3 linked regions of the Anolis sagrei genome follow. The protein of the gene in region 1 purifies or fractionates together with the protein of each later gene. This does not show direct contact. Links are inferred from orthologs where the notes say so. Each region holds a gene or a part of one and is shown in the gene's direction. Other genes may lie near its edges.

The links.
Region 2: the proteins of CASK (region 1) and SNTB2 purify together in Homo sapiens (affinity purification with mass spectrometry; 3 studies listed by BioGRID and IntAct, with this or other methods). This does not show direct contact. The link is inferred for Anolis sagrei from reciprocal best matches to the Homo sapiens genes CASK and SNTB2.
Region 3: the proteins of CASK (region 1) and ARHGEF26 purify together in Homo sapiens (affinity purification with mass spectrometry; 3 studies listed by BioGRID and IntAct, with this or other methods). This does not show direct contact. The link is inferred for Anolis sagrei from reciprocal best matches to the Homo sapiens genes CASK and ARHGEF26.

Annotation. Positions count from the first base shown.
Region 1 is NC_090023.1:77,991,356-77,998,652, forward strand, and holds the start of CASK (peripheral plasma membrane protein CASK), read left to right. Parts: upstream 1-4,229; 5' UTR 4,230-4,850; coding exon 4,851-4,909; intron 4,910-5,285; exon of another isoform or gene 5,286-5,332; intron 5,333-7,297. UniProt on the Homo sapiens protein: Multidomain scaffolding Mg(2+)-independent protein kinase that catalyzes the phosphotransfer from ATP to proteins such as NRXN1, and plays a role in synaptic transmembrane protein anchoring and ion channel trafficking.
Region 2 is NC_090028.1:28,607,780-28,615,460, forward strand, and holds the start of SNTB2 (beta-2-syntrophin), read left to right. Parts: upstream 1-4,648; 5' UTR 4,649-4,691; coding exon 4,692-5,220; intron 5,221-7,681. UniProt on the Homo sapiens protein: Adapter protein that binds to and probably organizes the subcellular localization of a variety of membrane proteins. May link various receptors to the actin cytoskeleton and the dystrophin glycoprotein complex.
Region 3 is NC_090023.1:243,005,430-243,012,514, forward strand, and holds the start of ARHGEF26 (rho guanine nucleotide exchange factor 26), read left to right. Parts: upstream 1-4,061; 5' UTR 4,062-4,288; coding exon 4,289-4,293; intron 4,294-7,085. UniProt on the Homo sapiens protein: Activates RhoG GTPase by promoting the exchange of GDP by GTP. Required for the formation of membrane ruffles during macropinocytosis. Required for the formation of cup-like structures during trans-endothelial migration of leukocytes.

The DNA of each region.
Region 1 (7,297 bases):
GAAGGACTCTAAAAGGCTGTTCCTGGGGGTGGCCTCAGAGCTCCGTGGTGCCTGGAGAAGGATGTGCAGCCAAATAGTGACCCAGTCCCTTAGCCACAGAGCGGCTGTGCAGCTTTCAGGCCACTGTGGCCAAAGGAGAAGTAAGCAACCTGCTTCTCAAATTACCCTTGGAAGCTCTTGCCTGTTCCCCTGAGACTCAGCCCCACGTTTCCTAAATAGCCTCATTCCCAGGGCCTTCAAAACCTCCCCCTTGGTTTTGAAGGCCTTGAGAATGAGGCCGTTTGGGAACTGTGTGAGGCTGAAGAGTTCACCAGCCTTGGCCTGACAGAGACATAGCTTCCCAAATGGCCTCATTCATGCTGACTGCCTTCCTGACTCACTATGCCTTTACTGCTGGGTGCATTATATTCGACTGAAAATCATTGAGGTGTGCATTAAATTCGACGGCACATTATACTCAAGTAAATACAGTATATCTGATATTAGAAATGGAAACAATAAACTACAAAAATATACCAGTTGCAGAGCATTTCAACCTGCTTGGACAATTTGTGCAGTGCATAAAAACTAAAAGAAGCCTGGAAAGAGAAACCGCTGAATTTGTTGTTGTTTATTCGTTCAGTCATTTCCAACTCTTTGTGACCTCATGGACCAGCCCATGCCAGAGCTCCCTGTTGGCTGTCACCACCCCCAGCTCCTTCAAGGTCAATCCAGTCACTTCAAGGATGCCATCCATCCATCTTGCCCTTGGTCAGCCCCTCTTGCTTTTTCCTTCCATTTTTTCCAACATAATTGTCTTCTCTAAGCTTTCCTTTCTTCTCATGATGTGGCCAAAGTACTTCATCTTTGCCTCTACTATCCTTCTCTCCAATGGGCAGAACTGCTGAATTAGGATGTATCAATAAATTCCAAGCCATAAACAATGGTTTGTTGACACACTACATATATTAAAACATTACAGCTTTCATCACAGCCATACATATGCAAAGATACTCTCCTCACACCTGTTTTATGACAAGATTTTACAGGCCCTGCACACATACCAACTCACTAGGTAAAAGCCATTCCTCCGGTCTACATGTGTTTATCTGAGCAAAACCTGACTCCCAACTATGTCCTTTCAACTACTCATCACAATCATTGTTAAACCGGTAGTTGTCACCATTCCAACATGTTTTGCATTGACAGATATTGCTACTACATGTTTTGCATTTCCACTATCTTTTACATTCCTTCCATGTATTTTTGGTATACATGCCTGCCCAAACAGGGTTTATTATTTATTATTTATTTATTTATTCAGAACTTTTATATCCCAGTCTTCTCAACCTCCGCAGAGGAACTCAGGCCGGCTAACAGAAAATGCATACACAAGTAAACTAATAACATCATAACATCATAATACAGTAAAATAGCAACAGAATAAATACATAAAGCCAAATCGACAAGATAAAATCACATTCATCATAGTCCGCCAGTGTGGTCAGTAGTTATTAGGTTATTGTTGACGCCAATCATTCTGAGAATGCTTTGCCCCAGAGCCAGGATTTCACTAGCTTTCTGAAAGTCAGGAGGGAAGGGGCAGATCTAATCTCCATCAGGAGAGAGTTCCACAGCCAAGGGGCCACCACCGAGAAGACCCTGTCTCTCGTCCCCACCAGACACGATTGCAAAGGTGGTGGGACCGAGAGCAGGGCCCCTCCAGAAGATCTTAACAACCTTGATAGTTCGTAGGGGAGAATCCGTTCGGACAGGTAAACTGGGTCGTAGCCGTTTAGGGATTTATAAATCAAAACCAGCACTTTGAATTGCGCTTGGAAACTAATTGGCAGCCAATGGAGCTGACGCAACAGAGGAGTAGTGTACTCCCTGTACCACGCTCCTGTTAGTAATCTGGCTGCCGCTCTTTGGACTAATTGCAGCTTCCGGGCAGTCTTCAGAGGCAACTCCACGTAGAGAGCATTGCAGTAGTATATACGGGATGTTACCAGAGCGTGGACCACTGTGGCCAAGTCAGACTTCCCAAGGTACGGGCCCAGCTGGCGCACAAGTTTTAATTGTGCAAAAGCTCCCCTGACCACCACCGAGACCTGGGGTTCCAGGCTCAGCAATGAGTCCAGGATCACTCCCAAGCTGCAAATCTGCGCCTTCAGGGGGAGTGTAACCACGTCAAGCACAGGCTGGATGCACACTGTCAAGTATAGGCTGGATGCACACTGGATGCACACTGTCATATAATGCAGTTTGGAACTGCATTATATTGTCAGTGTAGATCAGGCAAGGGCAAACTTGGGCCCTCCAGGTGTTTTGGACTTCAACTCCCACCATTCCTCACAGCCTCAGGCCCTTTCCTTTGCCCCCTCAGCCGCTTATAGTCCAAAACACTATTTTATCGAGATTGGTCATTGCTCTCCTCCCAAGAAGCGTCTCCTGATTTCCTGGCTGCAGTCTGCGTCTGCAGTAATCTTTGCACTTAGAAATACAAAGTATGTCACAGCCTCCATGTTTTCTCCCTCTATTTGCCAGTTATCAATCAGTCCGGTTGCCATAATCTTGGTTTTTTTATGTTTAACTGCAACCAAGCCTTTGTACTTTCTTCTTTCACCTGGATTAGATAATATATTGTATATACATATAATATTTATAACACTATAATGTAATACAATATAATACTACTAATAATGCAATATTATAATTATATATTTTATATTACATGTAATATTACTAATAATATTACAATATAATGGTATAGTACAATATAGTAATATGTAACACTGATAGTGCTGTTTTAATAATATAACATATTGTTTGTGTGTGTGTGTGTGTGTGTGTATATATATATATATATATATATATATATATATCTTGTAAGCCGCTCTGAGTCCCCTTCAGGGTGAGAAGGGCGGCATATAAATGCAGTAAGTAAATAAATAAATGAATAATAAGGTTCTTGTGGGTTTTTTCAGGCTATATGGCCATGTTCTAGAGGCATTTCTCCTGACATTTCGCCTGCATCTATGGCAAGCATCCTCTGACCGCATCTTGGCCTATAAGCCCACGAGGACTTTGAGATCATCCGGGGAGGCCCTGCTCTCAATCTCGCCTGCCTCACAGGCACGCCTGGTGGGGACGAGAGATAGGGCCTTCTCGGTGGTGGCTCCTCGGCTGTGGAACACCCTTCCCGTGGACATCAGATTGGCCCCTTCCGATGATATTCCGCAGGAAATTAAAGACGTGGCTGTTCAAGAAGGCGTTCGAACAAGAAATCCAATAATTGGTAATGACGACAGGAATGGAACGACGGAATATAATACTGGATTGTGGTGTAACGATGAGATTATGCGAATGGCTTTTTGTATTATTGATATTGATGTTGTTGATGTTGTTGATGACGATGCTTTTGTTATTGCTGGATTGATTTTAGATTGTGTCTTGTAATTTGCACCCTGTCCTCTCTATGTTGTACACCGCTGTGAGTCGCCCCCGGGCTGAGAACAGCGCTATATAAGCACAGTAAATAAATAATAAATAAATAATAAATAGAACATGGCCATATAGCCCAATAAAAACCACAAGAACCTAGTGATTCCAGCCATGAAAGCCTTTGACAAAATGAATAATAGCCGTTTGACACCGCTCAGTGTCAATCTACTATGTGCAATATTTATTTACTTTATTTCTATACCGCTTTTCTCAGCCCTCAGGCGATTCAAATATGGCTATATCCAGAAAAGAAAAAAGGCTAAAGAGGAGAATGAGTTGTCGAAGGCTTTCATGGCCGGAATCACTGGGTTGCTGTAAGTTTTTCGAGCTGTATGGCCATGTTCCAGAAGCATTCTCTCCTGACGTTTCGCCTGCATCTATGGCAGGCATCCTCAGATTGTGAAGTCTGTCGGACACTAAAGAGGAGCTTCAACGCAATGCCTATGTGCCCTGCCGTTTCTCAGCCCCAGCATTGCCGCTAGTCTCTCCGACCGCAAGGAAAACCTTCTCCTTTTCCCTTTCCCCGTTCAAATGACGTCAACAACCCCCGCGCCTGCGCAGTACAAACTCTTCGCCGTTTCCCCGTGAGGGGAGTTGTGGGCGTGGCTTTGCTCGGAGCAGGGAGGAGGGAGGAGGAGGAAGGAAAAAAAAAAAGCCAGCTCTGCTCCCCTCCCCAACTTAGCCCTGAGCGCGAGAGCGCGCGTTCTAACGTAAAGGGAGGATGCGCGCGCATGCTTGGCTCTGGGCGGTTGCGTGACTGATAAGAAAGGTGTCGGCGGCCGCGGCGGTGACGCGCAGGCGCGCGCGCACGCACCCTGTCTCCCTCTGTGTTTCTCCCTTCATCAAACGGCGTTGGGGTGGCGCGTGGACGGAGCCGCGCCTTTCTCTTCGCCTGGGCGCGCGCTCTCTCTCTCTCTCTCTCGTTTCGAGGAGGGAGGGAGCGAGTGTGTGAGTGACTGAGGGAGGGAGTGAGTGTGTGTGTGTGTGTGTGTGTGGACAAGAAGCGGGGGAAGGGAGCGAATGAGGGGCTCGCTCTGCCTGCCTGCCTGCCGCGGTTTCATCCTCCGTCTCCATCCCCTCCATGGATTAATCCCCGGCGGCCAAAGGTGAGAAGAAGGAAGGCGAAGAAGAAGGAAGAAGACGACGACGCCGGGAATTGTGAGGGACACGCGGGGAAAGGCTGCGGCCCACCGCAAGGAGCGGCCACCGAGGGGGGCTTTTCCTAGCGCGGCCATTGGAGGATTTGGCCGGGATTTTAGCGCGGCGGCGGCGGCGGGGAGCGCGGAGGAGGAGGGGGAAGAGGAGGAGGGGGACCGTGCCCGCGGCCCCTCCCGCCCTGGGGCGGCTCGCCTCCCCCCCGCCGGACCATGGCCGACGACGATGTGCTCTTCGAGGACGTTTACGAGCTCTGCGAGGTGATCGGCAAGTAAGTAGCAGAGGCACCCATGGAGGGGAGATGGAGGAGGCAGCCGCGGAGGGAGGAGCGGCGGTGGGCTGCAAAGCCTCCTCCCCGACCGCGCGGGGGGAGGGGGGCAAGGAAGGAAGGATCCTCGGGAACCGCTCGGGGCTCTTCCCACCTGGGGAAAGGGAGCCCTCTCCTCTCTCCCCCCTCCTCCGGCCACCATGATTAAACGGGGCTCCTGCAGCAAAGCGGGGCTTCTCCTCCTCTCTCTCTCTCTCTCTCCTACAAGGTAGACAAGGCAGGGACGGGGTGTGTTTCTCCTCCTCGGCTCCCCTCCCCCTCGCTCTCCTTCCCTCCCTCCCTCCCTCCTACCAATGCCAGGTGCCTTCCTTGGGCGCTGCTGCATCATCAAACCGGCTCGTTAGCGGCGATATAAAGGACACTCAGGTAATACTCGGGTGCTTTTTTTCCCATCCCCACCGTGGATACATACACACTGTAGAGGTGACACACTTTGGGCCTTTCCACACAGCCATGTAACCCAGAACATCAAGGCAGAAAATCCCACAATATCTGCTTTGAACTAGGGGCCCTTCCACACAACCCTATATCCCAGAATATCTGTTTTGAACTGGGTTATCTGAGTACACACTCAGATAATGTGGGATTTTCTGCTTTGGTATTCTGGGATATAGGGCCATGTGGAAGGACCCTGGGTTATCTTGGGCCCTTTCCACACAACTGAATAAAATCCCACATCTCTCTGAGATATATGGCAGTGTGGACACAGGGACCTTCAACACAGCCCTATATCCAAGAATATCAAGGCAGAAAATCTCACAATATCTGCTTTGAACTGGGTTATCTGAGTCCACACTCAGATATTGTGGGATTTTTTTACCTTGATATTCTGGAATACAGGGCTTTGTGGAAGGGGCCTCAGATAACCCAGTTAAAGTATTCTGGGATTTTCTGCCTTGATATTCTGGATTATATGGCTATGTGGAAGGGCCCTGAGCCCACACTGCCATTTATTCCAGTTCAAAGCAGATAATGTGGGATTTTATTCAGCTATGTGGAAGCTCCCTTTGACACCACTTTAACTGTCATGGCAGAACGCTATGGAGTTGTGGGAGTTGTAGTTTGGCGAGTGACTAGAGAAGGCTAAAGACCTTGTAAGGTGACAACTCCCATAATTCCATAGCATCGAGCCATGGCTGTTAAAGTGTTGTCAAACTGCATCAGTTACACTATGCAGATGCACCCCCAGTTGGGATAAAGCTGGAAGGCCTTTCAAAGGCAACAACCACTTTTGCAGAAAACTAAAGTTGCAAGGGTGGTTGGCTGAACTGCCACTCAGGCTACCTGGAGTGTCCAGTTTGACAGGCGGTTTGAAAATGCCAGGCCAAGTGGTTTGTCTTGGAGAGGGAAACCAAATAAGCTTGGTAATTGAAGGAGATGAAAGCAGAGGTTTTTGTTTTTGTTTTTTGTCTTCCCCAATAACTGTATCATAGTGGGAGATCTGGGACTCTTTGTGCTAGAATAAAAATTGTAGTAGACATCTACTGTATCACTTTAGTAGCTGAATAACTTTACCTTGTATCCATCTGAAGATGTTTTGGCAGTTAAGTGAGTTTGTTGCCATTATGATTTTGTAAGGGCAAATAAATGTTAAGGAAAACATTTTTGGTTGTTTCTGCTATGATTGTTACATTCAGAATGAAAAATGACTTGTTACTGCAAGAGGGTGTATGAGAGAAATATTTTGTAGCAAGATTGTTGTAATATTTCTTCCAAAGATGTAATTTCATGTAGCTGAAGTTGGATACATGTGATCTTGTTAACATCCTTTGCCAAACTCCTGCTTTTAAAAATGCTTTATGTTTTTTGTGTTCCAGGTTCTTCCCAGTTTCAATCATTTTTAAAATTCTGGCTATTAGAGCAATGTTTGTATACATGGCAACATTTAGTCAGAATCATATCTACATCAGTAAGAAATTCCTATTGGTTTGTTTGGAAATATAATTATGTTGTTGGTCCCTACTATTGTTGGTAATACAGGGTCAATATCCTTTATATGAAATGCGTACAACTAGAAGTGTTTTGAATTTTTTATATTTTCAGATTTTGGAATATTTACAATTGTATATATTGTATGTACATGAGATATCCTGGAGATGAAATTCAAGTCTACACACAGAATTCATTTATATTTCATATATACCATGTTCACATAGCCTGAAGGTAACTTCAAACAATATTTTTAATAATGCTGTGCATGAAACTAAGTTTGTGTGCATAAAACCACCAGAACACAAAGATGTCACTTTTTCAGCCTTCCATGTGGACAATTTTGGATTTTTGGAATTCCATATAAGGAATGCAAAACTGGCAGTTTTCTTCTCTCTTCCT
Region 2 (7,681 bases), on another chromosome or scaffold:
ACTTGGGAAGGGTCCAACGTGTGATCCAATACAACAGCCAACAGAGTGTCTGCTGTAGACTCATCTTGTTGTGTTTCAAATAATAATAATAATAATAATAATAATAATAATAATGGGATTTTTATTATTTTAATCGCCACTTTGAGGGCCCTTCCAGACAGGCCCTATATCTGAGGATCTGATCCCAGGTTTTCTGTTTATCCCAGATTCTCTGGCAGTTTGGACACATATAATCCAATTTAAAGCAGAAAACTTGGGATCAGATCCTAGGATATAGGGCCTTTCTGGAAGGGCACTGAGTCACCTTCGCGGGAAATAAAGCAAGGTATAAATGCATATAATAAAAATAGCAATAGGTTTGAGTGATTTTACTTTTAAGTGTTACTATTTGCATTATGTGTTTTTGAAATTTCATTTTTTTTTTAAAAAAAGTGACATGTTCTGTGTTTTAAGGAGGAGGAGGAGGAGGAGGACGTTGTCCAGGGGAACGCCAGGATGTTTTGATGTTTAACCATCCTTGTGGGAGGCTTGGAGAGCTGGAGCTGACAGAGAGAGCTCAACCCACTCTCCCAGGGATTCGAACCTCTGACCTGTCAGTCAGCACTCCTGCTGGCACAAGGGTTTAACCCACTGCGCCGCCAGGGGCCCAGTAATAATAATAATAATACTCCTGACCTCACAAGTATGGATCGTCGATGTTGTAATCCCAGGCGACAGCAGGATTGAAGAGAAACAACTGGAAAAGCTGACACAAAACGAGGATTTAAAGATCAAACTGCAAAGACTGGCACAAGCCAGTCAAGGTGGTCCCACTGGTGATTGGCACACTGGGTGCAGTGCCTAAAGACCTTGGCCTGCACTTAAGCACAATTGGAGCTCACAAAATCATTATCTGCCATCTGCAAAAGGCCACCTTACTGGGATTAGCACACATTGTTCGCTGATAATATCACACAGTCCTAGACATTTGGATGATCCAATAAAACAGCCAGAAGAGCGATCTTGTTTGCTGTGTACTAATCTTGTGTTTCAATTAATTAATTAAGTAAGTAAGTAAGTAATGGTGGAACATTACCCTCATTAAATGATGTGGGTAATAAATACAATAAACGCAGCACCATAAAACACATACAATGCACATATGAAAACACATTACCATAAAATACATATATTAAAATATGTGGAACAAAGATTGAAATACAGTAGTAATAGGATTTGAAATTGACCAGGTATATAATTGTATTTATATGCTACTTTTCCTCTTTTAGAAGTGGCTCCAAGGCCCAGGCGGGATCCCTTCCTGCTCAAGAGCATTAAATGGTGTCTCTTCCCTCCTTTAAGGAGATGTCCTCAGGAGGCCGGACGATTACATAGCCTTCAGAATTAAAAATAGGCCGTTTCCTCCTTGTCCCGAGGATCAGCAGCAAAGCTCTGGCTGCTGGACCTCACGCTGCGAGATCAAAGATCAAATCAGGGGTCAAATCCTGCCTTCTCTGTGCCCTGAGAGGCACTTGAGGACATTCAATGGGACAAAAAGCAATCCCACAATAATAATAATAATAATAATAATAATAATAATAATAATAAATGACGAAATCATGATCTGCAAAAGGCCACCTTACTTGGATCTGCACGCCTCATTCGTAAATGCATCACACATTCCTAGACACATGGGAAGTGTTCGACTTGTGATTTTGTGACATGAAATCCAGCAAATAGATCTAATTTGCTGTTACATACTGTGTCAGTAAAATAATAATAATAATAATTTTGCAAAGACTTGGACAAGCCAGTAAATGTGATCTCAGTGGTGATTGGCACACTGGGTGCAGTGCCTAAAGACCTTGGCCTACACTTAAAAACAATCAGTGCTGACAAAATTACCATCTGTCAGCTGCAAAAGGCTACCCTACTTGGATCTGCATGCATTATTCGCTGATACATCACACAGTCCTAGACACTTGGGAAGGGTCCGACGTGTGATCCAATACAACAGCCAGCAGAGTGATCTTGTTGTGTTTCTAATAATAATAATGTTTACCTGTTAGGTAATGGTAAATGTTTTCCCTGACATTAAGTCCAGTTGTGTCCGACTCTGGGGAGTTGGTGCTCATCCCAATTTCTAAGCTGAAGAGCTGGTGTTGTCCGTAGACACTTCTAAAGTCATGTGGCCTGCATGACTGCATGGAGCACTGTTCCCTTCCTGCCGGAGCAGTACCTATTGATCTACTCACATTTGCATGTTTTCAAACTGCTAGGTTAGCAGAAGCTGGGGTTAACAGCGGGAGCTCACGCCGCTCCCCAGATTCGAACCTGTGACCTTTTGATCAGCAAGTTCAGCAGCTCGGTGCTTTAACCCACTGTGGCACCGGGGGTTTACCTGTTACCTGCTTGATATTGGCAACACCTAGTTCATATAAGCCAGTGGTTCTCAACCTGGGGGTCGGGACCCCTGAGGGGGTCACCAGGGGCTGTGAGAGGGGTCGCCAAAGCCCGTCAGGAAACACAGTATTTTCTGTTGGTCATGGGGGTTCTGTATAAGAAGTTTGGCCCAATTCTATACTTTGTAGGGTTCAGAATGCTCTTTAATTGAAGGTGAACTATAAATCCCACAACTGCAACTCCAAAATGCCAAGGTATATTTCCCCAAACTCCACCAGTGTTCACATTTGGGCATATTGAGTATTCATGTAGAGTTTGGTCCAGATCCACCATTGTTTGAGTCCACAGTGCTGTCTGGAGGTGAACTACAACTCCAGACTCAAGGTCAATGCCCACCAAACCCTTCCAATGTTTTCTGTTGGCCATGGGAGTTTTGTGTGCCAACAGGGGCGGCTCAACCATTACGCAAAGTAAGCATTTGCAGTATAGTTGATTTTGCCCAGGGGTGCTCTAGGGGGAAAATAGTCCTTGACATATGTGAGTTGTAGTTACTGGGATGTATAGTTCACCTACAATCAAAGAGCATTCTGAATTCCACCAATGATGGAATTGAACCAAATATGGCACACAGAACTCCCACGACAAACAGAAAATATATATCAGTGATTGGTTGGGGGGGGGGGGCAAATTACTGTTTGCTTACCATCCAAAATTACCTAGGGCGGCCTCTGTGTGCCAAGTTTGGTTCAATTCAATTATTGTTGGAGTTCAGATTGTAGGTGAACTATAAATCCCAACAACTCGAACGCCCAAATAACAAAATCAATCAATCCCCCCTCCTCCCAATCCCACCACTATTCAAATTTGGGCATGTCGGATATTTGTGCCAAATTGGATATAGTGAAAAAAACATCCTGCTTATCAGATAATTGCATTACCATTCATAACAGGAGCAAAATTACAGTTATGAAGTAGCAAAATAATGTTATGGTTGGGGGTCACCACAACATGAGGAACTGTATTAAGGGGTCGCAGCATTAGGAAGGTGGAGAAACACTGATATAAACAGATTAAACGTATTGTCGAAGGCTTTCATGGCTGGAATCACTAGGTTCTTGTGGGTTTTTTCGGGCTATTGGGCCATGTTCTAGAGGCATTTCTCCTGACGTTTCGCCTGCATCTATGGCAAGCATCCTCAGAGGTAGTGAGGTCTGTTGGAAATAGGACAATGGGTTTATATATCTGTGAAATGGCTGGGGTGGGGCAAGGAGCTCTTCCCTGCTGGAGCTAGGTGTGAATGTTTCAACTGACTACCTTCATTAGCATTTGAAGGCCTGGCTGAGCCTGGGAAAATCTTTTGTTGAGAGGTGTTAAGATGTGCCCGCGCCCCTTTACCTAGCCAGGCCCCGCCTCTTTCCTCTTGCTCCTCCCCATTCTGAATTAGCCCCTCCCATCTATTGTCCTCCTCTAGCATTACAGCCAATGAGGCTCCTTCCTCTTTTCCCTCCCTTGTCTTCTCCAGGAGACCACGCCCCTTTCTTATCGCCCCGCCTCCCAAAGGGTGAGGCTCCTCCCTCTTTCTCACCCCGCCTCCTTTCCCTCCCAGCCAATGGGTTTCCTCCTTAGTTGCCCCGCCCCTTTTCCTTTTTCGGTTGCCTCCCCTTCCAACTCAGGTCCCGCCTCTCCCTTCCTTAGCAGCCAATCGGACTCTGTGGCTGCGGCTCCTCCCCTTTTCTGTTCCCTCTCCTCCAACGCGGGCTTTGGGCTAGGCCCCGCCTCTCCCTTCAGTGGCACCCAATAGAGGCTGTGGCTCAAGCCCCGCCCCTTTAAGGTTCCCTCGTTTGACTAGGCCCCGCCTCTCCTTACTTGGCACCAATGGGACTTTGTAGCGGAGGCCCCGCCCCTTTTCTTTCCCCTCCATTCCAACGCGGGGGTTTAACTATGCCCCGTCTCTCTCTTCCTTGTCGCCCAATGGGACGGTGTGGATGAGGCCCCGCCCCTTTTCTCAGCCTTAGTTCCCTCCTCCTCCCGCCTCTCCCTCACTTGGGACTTTGTAGTGGAGGCCCCGCCCCTTTTCGTTCCCCTCCCCTCCAACTTTTAACTATGCCCCGCCTCTCTTTTCCTTGACATCCAATGGGACGCTTCGGATAAGGCCCCTCCCCTTTTCTCAGCCTGAGAGGCCACGCCTCTTTTGCCTCTCAGCCAATGGGCCATCTCCGAGGAGACCCCTCCCCTTTCTCCTGAGAGACGCCGGCTCAGTCTGAGTCGAGCTACGGCGGGAGAAGGACGCGCGACGCTCGGCTCCCCCGATGGCGGTGTGGACGCGGGCGTGCAAGGCCGGCCTGGTGGAGGTGCTGCTCCGCGAGCGCTGCTGGGTGCGGGCGCTGGCCGAGCTGAGCGGCGAGGCCTTGATCCTCAGCTCGGAGCCGGAGCCGCCGCTGAACGGCCTCCCGAACGGCTCCGAGTGGGGCAGCCCCGGAGTTGGGCGGCGCAGCGAGGCCGGGTCCAGCTCTCCGGAGCTGCGAGGGGCCGCCTCGGCTTCTCCGCCCTCCTCGCCGGGCTCCCCGCCGCTCCTGCCTTCTCCGCCGCCGGGGGTGCGCCGCGTGCGGGTGGTCAAGGCCGAGGCCGGCGGGCTGGGCATCAGCATCAAGGGCGGGCGCGAGAACCGCATGCCCGTGCTCATCTCGCGCATCTTCCCCGGGCTGGCAGCCGAGCGGAGCGGAGCTCTGCGCCTCGGGGACGCCATCCTCTCCGTCAACGGCGTCGACCTCCGGGAGGCCACCCACGACCAGGCCGTGCAGGCCCTCAAGCGCGCCGGGAGGGAGGTCCTCCTCGAAGGTGAGCCCCGAGAGCCGGCCTGGGACGACCTGGGCCTTCCCTTCGCGGGTTTGGGACTTCAGCTCCCACCATTCCTAACCAAACCCTCCCGACAGATGGCCAGCCAACCAGAGATGTCACTGAGATAGAGAGAGAGAGATGCTTTTCTCATAGAGGCACCCCAAAGGCCATCCAGTCCAGCCCACTTTTTCTGCCAGGCATCATCCAAACCCTCCCGACAGATGACCATCCAGCCAAAGATGTCGTTGTTATCCCCCAAGGAGCATCCAGTCCAAGCCCATTCTCCTATATTGGAAGACACCATACAAACCCTCCCAACAGATGGCCATCCAGCCAAAGATGTCATTGATATCCCCCAAGGGTCATCTAGTCCAAGCCCATTCTACTCTATAGGAAGACACCATACAAACCCTCCCGACAGATGGCCATTCAGCCAAAGATGTCGTTGATATCCCCCAAGGGGCATCCAGTCCAAACCCATTCATCTGTATAGGAAGACACTATACAAACCCTCCTGACAGATGGCCATCCAGCCAAAGATGTCATTGATATCCCCCAAGGGGCATCCAGTCCAAGCCCATTCTTCTATATAGGAAGACAACATACAAACCCTCCTGACAGATGGCCATCCAGCCAAAGATGTCATTGATATCCCCCAGGGATCATCCAGTCCAAGCCCATTCTACTCTATAGGAAGACACCATACAAACCCTCCCGACAGATGGCCATCCAGCCAAAGATGTCGTTGATATCCCCCAAGGGGCATCCAGTCCAAGCCCATTCTACTCTATAGAAAGACACCATGAAACCCCTCCGACAGATGGCCATCCAGTCAAGGATGTCATTGATATCCCCTAAGGATCATCCAGTCCAAGCCCATTCTACTCTATAGGAAGACACCATACAAACCCTCCCGACAGATGGCCATCCAGCCAAAGATGTCATTGATATCGCTCAAGGGTCATCCAGTCCAAGCCATTCATCTGTATAGGAAGACACCATACAAACCCTCCTGACAGATGGCCACTCAGCCAAAGATGTCATTGATATCCCCCAAGGGTCATCCAGTCCAAACCCATTCTCCTATATAGGAAGACAACATACAAACCCTCCCAACAGATGGCCATCTAGCCAAAGATGTCACTGAGTTGGATAGGGAGAGAGAGATGCTTATATCATACAGGCACCCCAAAGGCCATCCAGTCCAGCCCACTTTTTTTCTGCCAGGCATCATTCAAACCCCCCCCCCCCCCGACATATGGCCATCCACCCACAGATGTCATTGATGCATATGTATGTATGTGCGTGTACCCCCCAGTGGTCATCAAGGCCAAGCCCATTCTGCTCTATAGGAAGACACCGTCAAATCCCTCCCGACAGATGGCTATCCAGCCAAAGATGTCATTGATATCCCCCAAGGGTCATCCGTTCCAAGCCCGTTCTGCTATATAGGTAGAAACCATCCAAACCCTCTCAACAGATGGCCATCCAGCCACAGATGTAATTGAGATATGTGTGTGTGTATATATATATACACACATACACACACACCCCAGGGGTCATCAAGTCCAAACCCATACTGCTCTATAGGAAGATACTATCCAAATCCTCTCAGCAGATGGCCATCCAGCCACAGATGTAATTGAGATATGTATATATATATATATATATATATATATGTATGTATGTATACCCCCCCCCCAAGGGTCATCCAGTCCAAGCCCATTCCGCTGTATAGGAAGACACCATACAAACCCTCCCAACAGATGGCCATCAAGCCAAAGATGTCATTGATATCCCCCAAGGGTCATCCAGTCCAAGCCCATTCTCCTTTATTGGAAGACAACATACAAACTCTCCCGACAGGTGGCCATCCTGCCAAAGATGTGATACACACATATCACAATAACATCTTTGGCTGGATGGCCATCTGTTGGGAGTGTTTGTATGGTGTCTTCCTATACAGGAAAATTGGCTTGGACTGGATGACCCTTGGGGGATATCAATGACATCTGTGGCTGGTATGGCCATTTGTTGGAAGGGTTTGGATGATGCCTGGCAGAAAAAAAGTGGGCTGGACTGGATGGCCTTTGGGGTGCCTTTCCAACTCCAGCCAAAGATGTTATTGTGATATGTGTGTATCCCCCAAGAGTCATCAAGACTAAAGCCCATTCTGCTCTATAGGAAGACACCATCCAAACCCTCCCGATAGATGGCCATCCAGACAAAAATCCCTCTCTCTATATATATGTGTGTGTGTGTGTGTGTGTGTGTCCCAAGGGTCATCAAGTCCAAGCCCATTCTGTTATATAGGTAGACATTATCCAAACCCTCTCGAGAGATGGCCATCCAGCCACAGATGTAATTGATATATATCCCCAGGGGTCATCCAGTCCTGCTGTATAGGAAGACACCATCCAAACCCTCTTGACAGATGGCCACCCAGACAAAGATGTAATTG
Region 3 (7,085 bases), about 170 Mb from region 1:
ACAACTCACATATGTCAAGGTCTATTTTCCCCCAAGAGTACCTCAAGAGTGCCCCTGGACAAAATCAACTATACTGCAAATGCTTACTTTGCGTAATGGGTTGCACCACCCCTGTTCAGGATGCACTGTTGTCAAGTCCTGAGGCCTGTGAAGGAGGGAAGAGCATGAACTATTAGTCCTGGCCCCCACAAAGTAAAGATCCCCTTTTTAAGCTTCCCCTTTCATATTTTATTCTCTTTCCAGAGCCTTGGTTCCAAGTACGAGGCAGCAGCAGGTCCCTTCCCTGCTAAATTACATCTGCCAAAAACTCAGATTAGGAGGTGTACAGGGTTCAAACTACACTGCATGGTGCCCTGGGAGTGACACCAAATGACATAACATTTGTGTGTGATATCTCAGTAGAAATTTATTTGTTTATATAAAAATATGCTGGCAGTTAAATTTAAGCACAAAAAAACAGGTTTCATAAGTCCACCTTACCTGTACTGCATACTATATAAGTATATGTGAATACTTCATGCTAATTAACTTTTTGAACTCTTTAATCTAATGGGCACGTGCTCCAGACAGACTTGTTATTATCATCCTGTGACAACAAAACTTCAAATCATATGGTTTCATCTGCAAGCACCACAGGCATATTGTTGTTTTTGTTGCTGCTGTTTATTTTTTTTAACATATAATAATAATTACTTTATTCTGATATCCCACCACCAAACATTAAAATGAAGCACAATACAAAATACAATAAAATAAAACACATGCGCATATAAAAACATTAACTCACTGATTTTGCTAAATGTCCTATTATTTTAGCTACAATATTCTGGTTTGGTACAGTACCCTAAAGACACAAGATCCCATGCAAACTCGGAAGCTAAGTAGAGCCAGCCTGGTTAGTACTTGAATGGGAGATACCCAATGAAGGCCAGTTGCTGTATTTCAGACCACCTCTGAGTATCTGTTGACTATGACAACCTCATGAAATTCATGTGATCACCATAACTCAACAGATGACTTGCGACCTAATCACACTAGAGAATGAATCCACTTTAAATCCGGATATTGCCTCCTGAGAATTCTGGGGTTTGTAGTTTAGGGGGGAGCCTTTAACAGCCTCACTAAACTACAAACTTCAGAATTCTGCAGGAGGCAGAAACCGGATTTAAAGTGGATTCCTCCTCTAATCATGCAGTGGTTCTCAGCCTGGGGTCCCCAGATGTTTTTGGCCTACAATTCCTAGAAATCCCAGCCATTTTACCAGCTGTTAGGATTTCTGGGAGTTGAAGGCCAAAAACATCTGGGGCCCCCAGGTTGAGAACCACTAAGTGATGAAGTATTTGAAGGAACACATGAAATGATTCAGGAGATGGTTCAGGAGGATGACAACTTGCATTACTACACTGTGTGGCACCATTCCTGGTGGCGTCACAGTTAAGAACCATAAAACAAGGGTAGGGGGGAAATCAATGTGTTTCTCAATTTTCCTAATATTTTAGGTACAATGTTATAGGTACAAAAATATTTTAGGTACAATGTTAGGTACAAAGTACTCTAAAGGCACTACATTCTATCTAATCTTCAAAACTAAGTTGGTACTTGGACGGGAGGCCACCAACAAATACCAGGTGTTGTTGGTATAATTCAGAGGAAAAAAAGTGGCAAAGCCACCGCTTGAATATCCCTTGCTAAAGAAAATCCCATTAAATCAATGGGATTGCCATGACTTGAAGCCAGCAGAGGTCTATGTTGCTGACACCATGCGTAACAACGTAGAGTGGCACCAACCCTGTCAAGACCGATAAACCCAGGGAAGGGGGCCATCCTGTGTGTTCTATACAGGAAGTCCCCAAGTTACAAACATCCATCTTAAAAACAACACAGGGCTCTTCCACAGCCATATAACCCAGAATATAAAGGCAGACAATCCACAATATCTGCTTTGAACTGGATTATTTAAGTCCACACTGCCATATAATCCAGTTCAATGTGAATTTTATACAGCTGTGTGGAAGGGGCCACATTGGTGAGATACCAGGAAGTGAGAGAAATTTACTCCTCAGAAAGGGAAATTCACTCTTGAAATTTCCTGATATTTTAGGTACAATGTTATAATATGGTATAGAAATGCCAAAGTAACCAGATCCCATCTGATCTTCAAAACTAAGTTAGTACTTGGATGAGAGACCTCCAAAAAATACCAGGCACTGTGGGTATATTTCAGAGGGGAAAAAGTGGCAAGGCCACCTCTTGAAGATCCCTTGCCTAAGGAAAAGACTCCTGAGAGAGTTATCATGGAGAAAAGGTGCCCCAGTTGAAGCTTTCTTGCCAATCCTTGCTTCCACACATCATTTTTTTCAATATCCAATTCTTATAGGGGCAGAAAGTGAGGTGAAATCTTCTGAACAGGGGTACAGATCGCAAGAAAAACACCACAGGGGTGTTAATCCTTCCCTGTGCAATCCAAAGCTAGTTACACTTTAAAAATGTACCTGTTCTGGCTTACATACAAATCCAACTTAAGAACCTATATTGGGGACTGCCTGTACTTTTTGGCATCTATACCAGGCATGAGCCCCTGGTGGCACAATGGGTTAAACCGCTGAACTGCTGAATAATAATAATAATAACAACAACAACAACAATAAAACTTTATTTATACCTGCCACCATCCCCCCAAGGGGACTTGGGACGGTTTACATGAGGCCAAGCCCAACAACACATCAATAAAACAACAAAGCAGTAAGCAAATAAAACAATTCAATTAATATAACTCGAGTCACCTTTGGGCTGAGAGGGGCAGTATACAAATATAGTAAATAAATAAATAAATAAATAGGCAATAACACACAAAAATTTAAAACCTATGGCTGGGCCAGATTGAATAGATTAAAATTTTAAAATATACACTGGGTGTGAACAGAGGTTGGATGTATCTAAGCAGGAGGGTTTTAAAGGATAGTGTAGGGAGAGCAATCCAACGAGGAGTTAAAGTGCTTCTGAGGACTTGTTGATTGAAAGGTTACAGGTTCGAATCTGAGGAGTTGAATTTATGGACTTGGATAGACTTTCTTACCTACTGAAGGAACAGAGTAAGGAAAAGCAAATAAACTGGAACCAACTAAGAGAATACCTAGGAGAAAAAATCAAACTCAATATATAACATTTGGTACTATGAGTTAAATTGAACATAGAACGAAGGAGACCATAAGAAGACTTATACAATTTAATGATCGTACCTCTGTGGACTAAACTGGAAGTCATTAATATATACCCTTTTTGCTTTCTTTTTTCTCTCTCTCCTTAATTTTCTTTTTTACACTGGTGCTTTGATCCTCTCGATTTTGACTCCCCCAACCAAACCCCTTCCCCTTCCTCCATTACCCTATCTCTCTTCCAATTTCCTACTTTCCTGTCACCCTGACTGTTCCCCCTCTTTCATTGTTAAAGGAAAAACTCACAATAAATATTATGCAAAAAAAAAAAAAAAGAATCTGTGGAGTGGGCTGAGCTCCCACTGTTAGCCCCAGCTTCTGCCAACCTAGCAGTTTGAAACACGCAAATGTGAGTAGATCAGTGGGAAGGTAAGGGTGCTCCATGCAGTCGTGCAGGCCACATGACCTTGGAGGCGTCTATGGACAACGCCGGCTCTTCGGCATAGAAATGGAGATGAGCACCAAAACCCAGAGTTAACTTTATGTCAGGGGGAAACTCTTTTACCTTTAGCAGACCAGGCATGGGCCAACTTCGGCCCTCCCTCCAGGTGTTTTGGACTTCCAACTCCAACAATTCCTAACAGCCTGTAGGCTGTTAGGAATTGTGGGAGTTGGAAGTCCAAAACACCTGGAGGGAGGGCCGAAGTTGGCCCATGCCTGGTCTGCTAAAGCATGCCATTGCCTCACCAAACTACGACCCTGGAGCAGTGGAAGTGTTGTCAAGCTGCCTAAATTCCATAACCTGGGCATTGAAAGGGTCCAGGCCTGGCCCCTTCTCTTCGTCCGATGGGCAGGACTTCGAGGGAGGGGCTTGGCCTGCCTGGCTGGGAAGGCGGGGCTGGGGCACCAGGAGGGAGGCTGGCCCAGAGGAAGCGGGAGCGGCCGGCCGGTGCGTCCCGGAGCAGAAGCCGCCTTGGGAAAGACGGAAGGCCACTGCGACGCCCTCCTCGCCCGAAAGACCAAAGCTTGGCGAGGAGGGCGAGTGGGAGCTTTGGGCAAAGGGGAGGGGGTTCCTTCCGACTCCTTCCGACGCCTCCCGATTCCTCCCGGAGTGAAGCGGGCGCGCGCTTGAAATGAGGTGAGTTCGAGCTCTCTCTGCCAAAGACGGGAGAGAAGAAAGGTTGCCCGGGACAAAGTTCCCCTCTCTCTGGATGCTGCCCTCTCTTGCCCTCTCTGTTGGAAAGTTTTGTTACAAGTAGCAACAGTTCATCAAAGGGAGAAGGCGATGCAACGCAAGCCCTTTCTTTCCCACCCCAAACACCTTCTCCGCGGGAGGAGCCCTCAAGGTCTGAGGAGGGAGGCCGTGGTGTGGAAATGCTCAATAGGCAGGCGCAGGGAAAAGGCTTTGGATGCCGTTGGGAAAGAGCATGGGAATTGAGTCGTTGTAGAAGCATTCTCTCCAATTTTCCTAGTTTCCAACAGACCTAATATCCTCTGAGGATGGCTGCCATAGATGTAGGCAAAACGTCAGGAGACAATGCTTCTAGAACATGGCCATACAACCCGAAAACCTACAACAACCCAGTGACTCCTGCCATGAAGACCTTCGATAATACATTGAGCATGGGAATTGCTATGCAGCCAAGAGGCTATGTTGTTGTTACGTGATCCCTCGTAGCTCGAGGTTGGTGGTCCTCCAAGTGTAGTATCTTGGCGGTGGGTTCGTAGGTGGCTGTGGAGTCCTATTCTTGATGCGCATGTTCTTCTGCAGTAAGGACATCGGTTTCCACATGGAAGGTGGTCCTGGTCAGGGTTGGCTTGACGTCCCTTCCTCATGGCACGTTTCTCTCTTTCGCCCTCCATTCGTCCCTCTTTGAATTCTGCAGGACTGCTGGTCACAGCTGACCTCCAGTTAGAATGCTCAAGGGCCAGGGCTTCCCAGTTCTCAGTGTCTATGCCACAGTTTTTAAGGTTGGTTTTAAGCCCATCTTTAAATCTCCTTTAAAGGGGTGGCTAACATGAGGCCAAGCCCCAAAAATAATACAGCAAAGTTAGACACAAAACAACAGAAAAATTACATCACAACAAAATACATGAAATAACATAATAAAATCAAACACAAAGGCCGGGCCAAATGCACGAGATAAAATGTTAAAATCCTGGGTGAGATAGGAATAAAAAAGTGTATTAAAAAGTGTATTTGTGAGGGAAGAGCCCAAGAAGGAGGAGCAGTGGGGTTTGGCCTTTATTAAGGACAGGGGAAAGTGCATCATGAGGACAACTGTAGATGGAAACAAACAAAATGGGTTGTATGGTCACTCTCCGAAGGCACATTGGAAGAGCCAAGTTTTTAGATCTTTCTTAAAGGCTGCTAGGGTGGGGACTTGCCTAATTTCACAAGGCAGCGAGTTCTAGATCTGGGGGGGGGGGGGGGAGAGGGCACTGCGGAGATGGCTCTCTCCCTCGTTCCCACAAGTCGTGCATGTGATAGAGGAAGGGGTGAAAGGAGGGCCTCTCCAGAAGATCGAAGAGATCCTTTTCCTTCTTGAGTTCAGAGTTGCTTTGGGAGATGGTGATCAGGCATTCGGACAATGCGGCCAGTCCAGCGGAGTTGATGATGGAGAAGCATCACTTCAGTGCTGGTGGTCTTTGTTTCTTCCAGCATGCTGACATTTGTCCACCTGTCTTCCCAAGAGATTTGCAGGATTTTTCGGAGGCAGCGCTGATGGAAACATTCCAGGAGTTGCATATGATGTCTGTAGACAGTCCACATTTTGCAGGCATATAGCAGGGTTGGGAGGACAATGGCTTCATAAACAAGCACCTTGGTCGCCCATATGGATGTCCTGGTCCTCAAACACACTCTCCTTCATTCAGAAAAATGCTGCACTTGCAGAGCTCAGGTGGTGTTGTATTTCAGTGTCAATGTTGACTTTGGTGGAGAGGTGGCTGCCAAGATAGTGGAAATGGTAAACATTTTCTAATGTTACACCATTAAGCTGTATTTTTGGCATTGGAGAGGGATCGGCTGGTGACTGCTGGAAGAGCACTTTGGTTTTCTTGATGTTCAACAAGAGAGCCAAGAGGAGGATGGGCGCAGAAGGTAGCATTTTCCCCCTTTTAAAAAAATTGAGGTTGCCTGTTTCTTCTCCAAGGCTTCAGATCATAAACCCAGAGTGGAAAAGGACTCTGGTGTAAAATAAGCAATCACAATCCAATGTATTGTCAAAGGCTTTCATGGCCAGAATCACTGGGTTGCTGTGAGTTTTCCTGGCTTCATGACCATGTTCCAGAAGCATTCTCACTTGACGTTTTGCCCGCAACTATGGCAGGCATCCAGTGAGGTCTGGTGAAAAGGAAAGGGCATGAAGCTGTTAGGAATTGTGGGAGTTGAAGTCTGAAACACCTGGAGGGCCAAAGGTTTCCCATGCCTGGCATAGAGAATTGCTCATTGGATCCTCAGCAAGATCATCCAATATACCTTACAATACAAAGTCTATACAGCAGAGTTTTGAATTACGTAAAAGACTACCAAGATTTATTACAGTGTGTGCTCATGCACTGCAATAAAGCAAGGGTGTTTATATATCTGTGTAATGTCCATAATGGGAAAAAGAACTCTTGTCTGCCTGAGTCAAGTTTGAATGTTGCAATTGGCCACCTTGATTAGCATTGAATAGCCTCGTAGCTTCAAAAACTGGCTGCTCCCTGCCTGGGCAAATCCTTTTTTGGGAGGCGTAAGCTGACCCTGATTGATTCTTGCCTGGAATTTCCCTGCTTTTTGAGTGTTGCTGTCTATTTACTGTCCTGATTTTAGAGGTTTTTTTAAATACTGGTAGCCATATTTTGTTCATTTTCATGATTTCTTCCTTCCTGTTGAAATTGTCTACATGCTTGTGGATTTCAGTGGCTTACTTGTGTAATATGACA